Linked DNA regions of Lonchura striata. The protein of the gene in region 2 interacts with the protein of the main gene of each other region in a pairwise test. Links are inferred from orthologs where the notes say so. Each region holds a gene or a part of one and is shown on either strand. Other genes may lie near its edges.

Evidence for each region.
Region 1: the proteins of MAPK7 (region 2) and UBE2C interact in binary tests that used the Homo sapiens proteins (3 or more experiments, as listed by UniProt). The two-hybrid records come from large-scale screens. The link is inferred for Lonchura striata from reciprocal best matches to the Homo sapiens genes MAPK7 and UBE2C.

What each region holds. Positions count from the first base shown.
Region 1 is NC_134619.1:8,182,080-8,185,046, reverse strand, and holds UBE2C (ubiquitin-conjugating enzyme E2 C), read right to left. Parts: upstream 1,695-2,967; coding exon 1,594-1,694; intron 1,517-1,593; coding exon 1,489-1,516; intron 1,371-1,488; coding exon 1,284-1,370; intron 1,110-1,283; coding exon 905-1,109; intron 779-904; coding exon 719-778; intron 582-718; coding exon 523-581; downstream 1-522. Other genes in the region: regulator of G-protein signaling 9-binding protein-like, read left to right, coding at 1-120; DNTTIP1 (deoxynucleotidyltransferase terminal-interacting protein 1), read right to left, coding at 2,463-2,601, 2,947-2,967. UniProt on the Homo sapiens protein: Accepts ubiquitin from the E1 complex and catalyzes its covalent attachment to other proteins. In vitro catalyzes 'Lys-11'- and 'Lys-48'-linked polyubiquitination.
Region 2 is NC_134637.1:104,389-108,306, reverse strand, and holds the start of MAPK7 (mitogen-activated protein kinase 7), read right to left. Parts: upstream 2,746-3,918; 5' UTR 2,591-2,745; intron 1,369-2,590; 5' UTR 1,324-1,368; coding exon 720-1,323; intron 6-719; coding exon 1-5. UniProt on the Homo sapiens protein: Plays a role in various cellular processes such as proliferation, differentiation and cell survival. The upstream activator of MAPK7 is the MAPK kinase MAP2K5.

The DNA.
Region 1 (2,967 bases), on a different chromosome or scaffold from region 2:
AACATTCCACCATGGACAGTGGAAGCCACAGAGACCACACAGCCAGCAGAGACAAGTGGCACCACACAGAGAGCGGCCTGGGGCGGCCCCTGCGCTGGGCACTGCTGTGGGGTGCTGTGAGCTAGGGGGGCAGGAGATAGCAGCAGAGGTGACACCCCTGTCACAGAGCAGGAGACAGAGGTACCCCTACAGTCCTCAGCCCCTGCCTTTGCAGGTTATGGTGTGGGCTGCTCCCACCCTGTAGATAGAATTGCTCCAGGCCCCCAAATATTGATAAAGCTTTCATTACCCCACAGGGGTCAGTATCCCTTCCACCCTTCACGCCCACACTTGCAGAGGGGCCTCTTGGGCACTCAGGGTGTGCTAGAGCTGCCACAGAATCCCCTGCAGAAGTTATAAACCTGCATTTATTTATACATTAACCATGGCTCGGACTGCGACATTAATTTAAAAACAGCCTATGATACAGAACGCGGGGGATGGCCGGGAGGGAGGGGATGTGTTGAGGGGTGGTGGTGATGGTCAGGTCTCCTGGCTCTTGGTCTGCTTGTTGTACGTCTCCCGCACATACTTCTTGTAGGCTGAGGAAAGAGAGAACATGACACCAAGGGTCCTGAGGCAGTGGCCAGGGAGCTGTGGGGCCAGACAGGCACTGGGAGCTGTGCTGCTGCCCATCCCACTGGGGAGAGGGCAGGAGGGTTCTGCTTCAGGTACTCACCAACTTGGTTGTTCCAGAGCTCAGCAGCATGTGTGTTCAGAGGGCTCTCGATGTTTGGCTCTGGAAACAGTGGCTGCGTTAGCTGGTGACCTGGACACCCTTGAGCCCTGATCTGGGTTGGACAGCCCCACCACCACCACCACCCCTTCCCCCAGCACTCCACAGCAGTTTGTCCGCGAGACCCACCTGCCAGCAGGCTCTGTATGGAGAGCAGGATGGTGCGGACATCATAGAGCGCTGACCACTTTTCCTTGAGGATGTCGAGGCAGATGTTGCCCTGGGTGTCGACGTTGGGGTGGTAGCAGGGGGTCAGGAACCGCACGGTGGGTGCTGTGTAGGGGTACCCACTGGGGAACTCCAGTGACAGCTTGTACCGCAGCTCCTCGTAGGCCTGGGGTGAGAGTCAAGTGGGACAGGAGTCAGGGGGGGCTGTAGCCCCAGAGGTGTGGGGAAGCCTCGAAGAAAAAGAGGTACAAGGGCAATGGAGGGCTAGGAACACCCTCAGCTGAAGGGAGGAAGGTGGGGCAGGGTCAGGGCCACCTCAGACCGGGATTTCGCCTCTCACCGTCCCGGCGGCGCCGTCAATGGTCCCGATCCACTTGAAGAGGTTGTCGGACTCGGGGAAGGCAGAAATGCCTTTGTCACCGGACATCTGCGGGGGCAGCGCGTCAGGGCGGCCCGGGACGCCCCGAGACACCCCCCCAACCCAGTTCAGTCCCGGGTGCCTTTGGGATCCCCAATCCCCGGCTCGGCCCCGGGGCCCCACTCACCATCAATGCCATCAGCTCTTGCTGCAGCCTGCGGAGAAAGCGCACGTTACCGGCCGGCTCACCGGGGCCGCCCCCGCCCTCAGCCCCGGCCCCGGTTCCGCTCACCTCTTCCCCACCGCGCCGCGGGCCGCCGTGGCCCCGGTCTCAGCCGCTTTGCGGGCGGCTGCGCTGGACACGGCGGCGGGGTCGGCGTTCTGTGAGGCCATAGCGGCTCCCGGGGCACGGACCAGCACACTGGCACCGGCCGCCGCTGCCGGCGGGTCACGGGCGGGACCGGCTCCGGCTCCGGCTCCCGGGCGGCGCCGCACCGGGCTCCGCTGCTCTCTCCCTCCCTCCCGCAGTCCCGCTCGGGGCAGGACTCGGGCCCCTCTGCGGCTCCCCGGTGCCGAGCGGCGGTGCTTGGGGCTCTCCCGTGAGGCGGCGGCCCGATCCCAATCCCGTTCCAGACGGTCTCCGATTCAGGAGCGGCTGAGTGTCAAACCCCCTCGGTGCAGAGCGGCTGGGTGCCACCCCCTCTCCGGTGCAGAGCGGCTCGGTCCCAACTCCTCTCCGGTGCAGAGCGGCTGGGCCCAACCACTCTCCAGTGCAGACCGGCTCGATCCCAACTCCTCTCCGGTGCAGGAGCGGCTCAGTCCCAACCCCTCCCCGGTGCAGAGCGGCCCGGTCGCAGCCCCGGGCCCGGACACTCTCCAGTCCGCTCGTCCCGCGCGGCCCCGCCTGCTCCCGCGCCCCGTTTGAATATTTCCACGTGCGTCCCCCCCACCAATCAGCGCGCAGCCCCGTTCGAGCCGGCCAATCACGGCCCGCCGAGGATGCCGCTCCCACGGTAACGGCCGGCGGGCGCCGGCAGTGACGCTCCGCGCTCTGATTGGCCGCTGCCCCGCGGGTCCCGCCGGCCCGGACGCGGCCCGAGCCCGGTGCCCGGTGCCCGAGGAAGCGGCGAGCTGCGAGCGAAGCGGCTTTATTGGGGGGCATCAGGGTTCGGGGGGCTCCTCGGGGGCCGGCACGTCCCCCCCGCGGCGAAGCGTCTCCATGTGCTTCTGCATCTTCTCAGTCATCCAGGCTGGTGGGATGAAGGGCTTCAGCTCTTCCAGCCGCAGATCAACAGAGTCCCTGCGGAGGAACAGGGTGACATGGAGGGACACAGCACCCACTGCCGACCCACCATGTCCCCTGGCACACATCAGTACCAGGCCCAGACCCACCAAACCCACCATGAATCTCAATCAGCACTGAGCCCAAACCTACCATGGATCCCCAACCAACACCAAGTCCAAACCTCAGTTGCCCCATGGGCACCAATCCCCAACCATAACCAAGCCCCCAGCCACCATGCAGAGAGCCCCTCCAGCACGGGACGTCTCTGCAATGTAGCACTGAGGCAGGACATGGTGGGGGCCCCCCAAGAAGCAGCCTCAGGCCCAACAGCACTTTCAGAATTTCTGCTTCGGTCCTCACCTGTAATCCTCACTGGCGGCC
Region 2 (3,918 bases):
CTGGCCTGGGGGGGCAGGCGAGCTCCAGGTGAGCCCCGGGTGTGCCCCAGGTGTGCCCAGGTGAGCCCAGGTGTGCCCCAGGTGTGCCCAGTTGTGTCTCAGATGAGCCCTGGGTGTGCCCCGGGTGTGCCCAGGTGTCTCCTGGTGTGTTTTGGGTGTCCCCAAGTGTGCCCAGGTGTGTCCCAGGTGTCTCCAGGTGCGTTTTGGGTGTGCCTGGGTGTATCCCAGGTGTGCCCAGGTGTGTCTCAGGTGTCTCCAGGCGTGTTTCGTGTGTCCCCAGGTGTGCCCAGGTGTATCTTAACTGTGCCCAGGTGTGCCCAGGTGTATTTTGGGTGCCCCCAGGTGTATTTTGGGTGTCCCCAGGTGCATTTTGAGTGCCCCCAGGTGCATTTTGAGTGCCCCCAGGTGTATTTTGGGTGTCCCCAGGTGTATTTTGGGTGCCCCCAGGTGTATTTTAGGTGCCCCCAGGTGCATTTTGAGTGCCCCCAGGTGTATTTTGGGTGCCCCCAGGTGTATTTTGGGTGTCCCCAGGTGTATTTTGGGTGCCCCCAGGTGTATTTTAGGTGCCCCCAGGTGCATTTTGAGTGCCCCCAGGTGTATTTTGGGTGCCCCCAGGTGTATTTTGGGTGCCCCCAGGCGCCCCCAGGTGTATTTTGGGTGCCCCCAGGTGTATTTTGGGTGCCCCCAGGTGTATTTCGGGCGCGGCCCAGGCCTCTCACCGGTGTCGCGCCGCCGGGCCGAGCTGACCACGCCGTAGGCGCCGGTGCCGATGGTCTCGATGACCTCGTAGTCGTCGCCGACGTCGAAGGTGACGTCGAGCGCCCGCGCCTTCAGCAGCGCCAGCGGCCCCGGCGCCTCGGGGGCGTGGTCTGCGCCCGGGGGGGCGTGGTCTGGGCCATGGGGGGCGTGGTCTGTGCCATGGGGGGCGTGGTCTGGGCCATGGGGGGCGTGGTCTGTGCCATGGGGGGCGTGGCCTGTACCATGGTGGGCGTGGTCTGTGCCATGGGGGGCGTGGCATGTGCCATGGGGGGCGTGGCATGTGCCATGGGGGGCGTGGCCTGGGCCATGGTGGGTGTGGTCTGGCACATTGGGGGCGTGGTCTGGCACATGGTGGGCGTGGTCTGGCACATGGTGGGCGTGGCCTGTGCCATGGGGGGCGTGGTCTGGCACATGGTGGGCGTGGTCTGGCACATGGTGGGCGTGGCCTGTGCCATGGTGGGCGTGGCCTGGGCCATGGTGGGCGTGGCCTGGCACATGGGGGGCGTGGTCTGGCACATGGGGGGCGTGGCCTGTTCCGTCAGGGGCGGGGCCCGGCTCGGCCATGGCGCCGGCGCGGGTGGGATCGGTTGGGGGAGGGGGAGGAGTCACCTGAAAAAAGCGAAAATCACCCCAAAAAAATCGTCTGGGATCGGCGGGGATCCTCCCCCAGTTCGTCCCAGTTCATCCCGGTTCCCTCCCAGTTATGCCGGGACCTCCCCTAAACCCGTCCCAGTAAAGCCCAGTTCTGTCCCAGTCCCACCCAGTCCACCCCAGTCCATCCCAGTTCACCCGGTTTGCCTCCAGTTCCTCCCAGTTCCCTCCCAGTCTATCCCAGTTCCCTCCCAGTCCCTCCATGTCCATCCCAGTTCATCCCAGTTCATCTCAGTCCCCTCCCAGTCTGTCCCAGTTACTCCAGGACCCCCCTTAACCCCTCCCAGTTCTCCCAGTTCCCTTCCCAGTTACCCCAGTTCCCATCCAGTTCCCTCCCAGTCCCTCCCAGTTTATCCCAGCCCCTCCCAGTTCCCTCCCAGTCCCTCCCCTTTCCCTCCCAGTTCACTCCCAGTCCCCCCCAGTTCCCTCCCAGTTTATCCCAGTTCCCTCCCAGTCCCTCCCAGTTCCCTCCCAGTCCCTCCGTGTCCATCCCAGTTCATCCCAGTCCCCTCCCAGTCTGTCTCAGTTACTCCAGGACCCCCCTAAACCCTCCCCAGTTCTCCCAGTCCCTCCCAGTTCCTCCATGTCCATTCCAGTCCCTCCATGTCCATCCCAGTTTATCCCAGTCCCCCCCAGTCCATCCCAGTTCACCCAGTTTGCCTCCAGTTCCCTCCCAGTTCCCTCCCAGTCCCTCCGTGTCCATCCCAGTCCCCTCCCAGTCCTTCCCAGTTCCCCCCCAGTCCATCCCAGTTTATCCCAGTCCCCCCCAGTCTCTCCCAGTTTATCCCAGTTCCCTCCCAGTCCTTCCCAGTCCCTCCCAGTTTATCCCAATCCCATCCCAGTCTCCCCCAGTCTCTCCCAGTTTATCCCAGTCCCCCCCAATACCATCCCAGTCTCCCCCAATCCCATCCCAGTCTCTCCCAGTTTATCCCAGTCTCTCCCAGTTTATCCCAATCCCATCCCAGTCTCCCCCAATCCCTCCCAGTTTGTCCCAGTTTATCCCAGTTCCCCCCAGTCCCTCCCGTCCCCCCCCCCGGGGGCCGTTGCCATGGCGACCCCGCGGCTCTTCCCTCTCCCCCCCCCGCGCTCTTACCGCCCCCGCCGCCCCTCCCGCCGCTCCCGCCGGGCCCGGGAAGCGGCGCCGCCCGGCCCCGCCCCCTGCGCCGCTTCCGGGACGCACTTCCGGCCTCCCCGCGGCGGTTCCGGCCTCGGAGGATTTCCGCGGCGCCCGGGGATTTTTGGGGAACTTTTCCCGCTCGTCCGGGCGGCTTTGGAGGAATTTTGGGTCATCGCCGTGGTGTTTAAAGGATTTCCGGTTGGTTCTGTGGAACTTCCGGGTTCTCTCCATGGCGGACTTCCGGTTGGTCTCGACGGTTCCATGGAACTTCCGGCTCGTCTCTGTGGTGCTTCCCATTCATCTCTATGGGCAGGCTCTGGTCGCTCCTGCGCATGCGCGGCCGCCGTGAGGGATCTACCATTCATCTCTATTGATGGCTCTGGTCGCTCCTGCGCATGCGCGGCCGCTATGAGTGACCTCCCATTCATGTCTATTGACGGCTCTGGTCGCTCCTGCGCATGCGCGGTCTCCATTAGGGACCTCCCATTCATGTCTATGGACGGCTCTGGTCGCTCCTGCGCATGCGCGGTGTCCATTAGGGTCCTCCCATTCATGTCTATGGACGGCTCTGGTCGCTCCTGCGCATGCGCGGTGTCCATTAGGGACCTCCCATTCATGTCTATGGACGGCTCTGGTCGCTCCTGCGCATGCGCGGTGTCCATTAGGGACCTCCCATTCATGTCTATTGACGGCTCTGGTCGCTCCTGCGCATGCGCAGCCGCCATGAGGGACCGGACGCGGGAACTGCGCCAGGCGAGAGCCCAGAAAAATGGGGAAAAAAAAGGAAAAAACGGGGAAAAAAGCCAAAAAGCGGGAAAAGGAGCCCGGAATCGGGATGGGGGAAGGCGGAAATGGAGGAGGGAGTGAGGAAAAAGGGGGAAGAGCCCAGAAATTGGGGAAGAAAGGGCGAAAATGGGAGCGGGGAGCTCGGGAATGGCGAAAAGTGGGAAAAAGATGTGAAAATGTGGGAAAAAAGCACAAAGAAACGGGTTGGGAGGCCAGAAATGCGGGAAATGAGGGAAAAAGTCGGAAATGAACCCAAAAATTGGGAAAAGAGCCCAAAAAATCAGGAAAAAGAGCGAAAATCAGGAAATAAACCCAAAAATCAGGAGAATGAAGTCAAAAATTGGGAAAATGTTTCTAAAAAAATGGGGAAAAGAGTTCAAAAATTGGGAAAAGAGCCCAAAAATTAGGTGAAGAGTCTAAAAACCAGGAAAAAGAGGCGAAAATCAGGAAATAAACTCAAAAATCAGGAGAATGAACTCAAAAATTGGAAAAATGTTTCCAAAAAAAATGGGGAAAAGAGTTCAAAAATTGGGAAAAGAGCCCAAAAATTAGGCGAAGAGTCTAAAAACCAGGAAAAAGAGGCGAAAATCAGGAAATAAACCCAA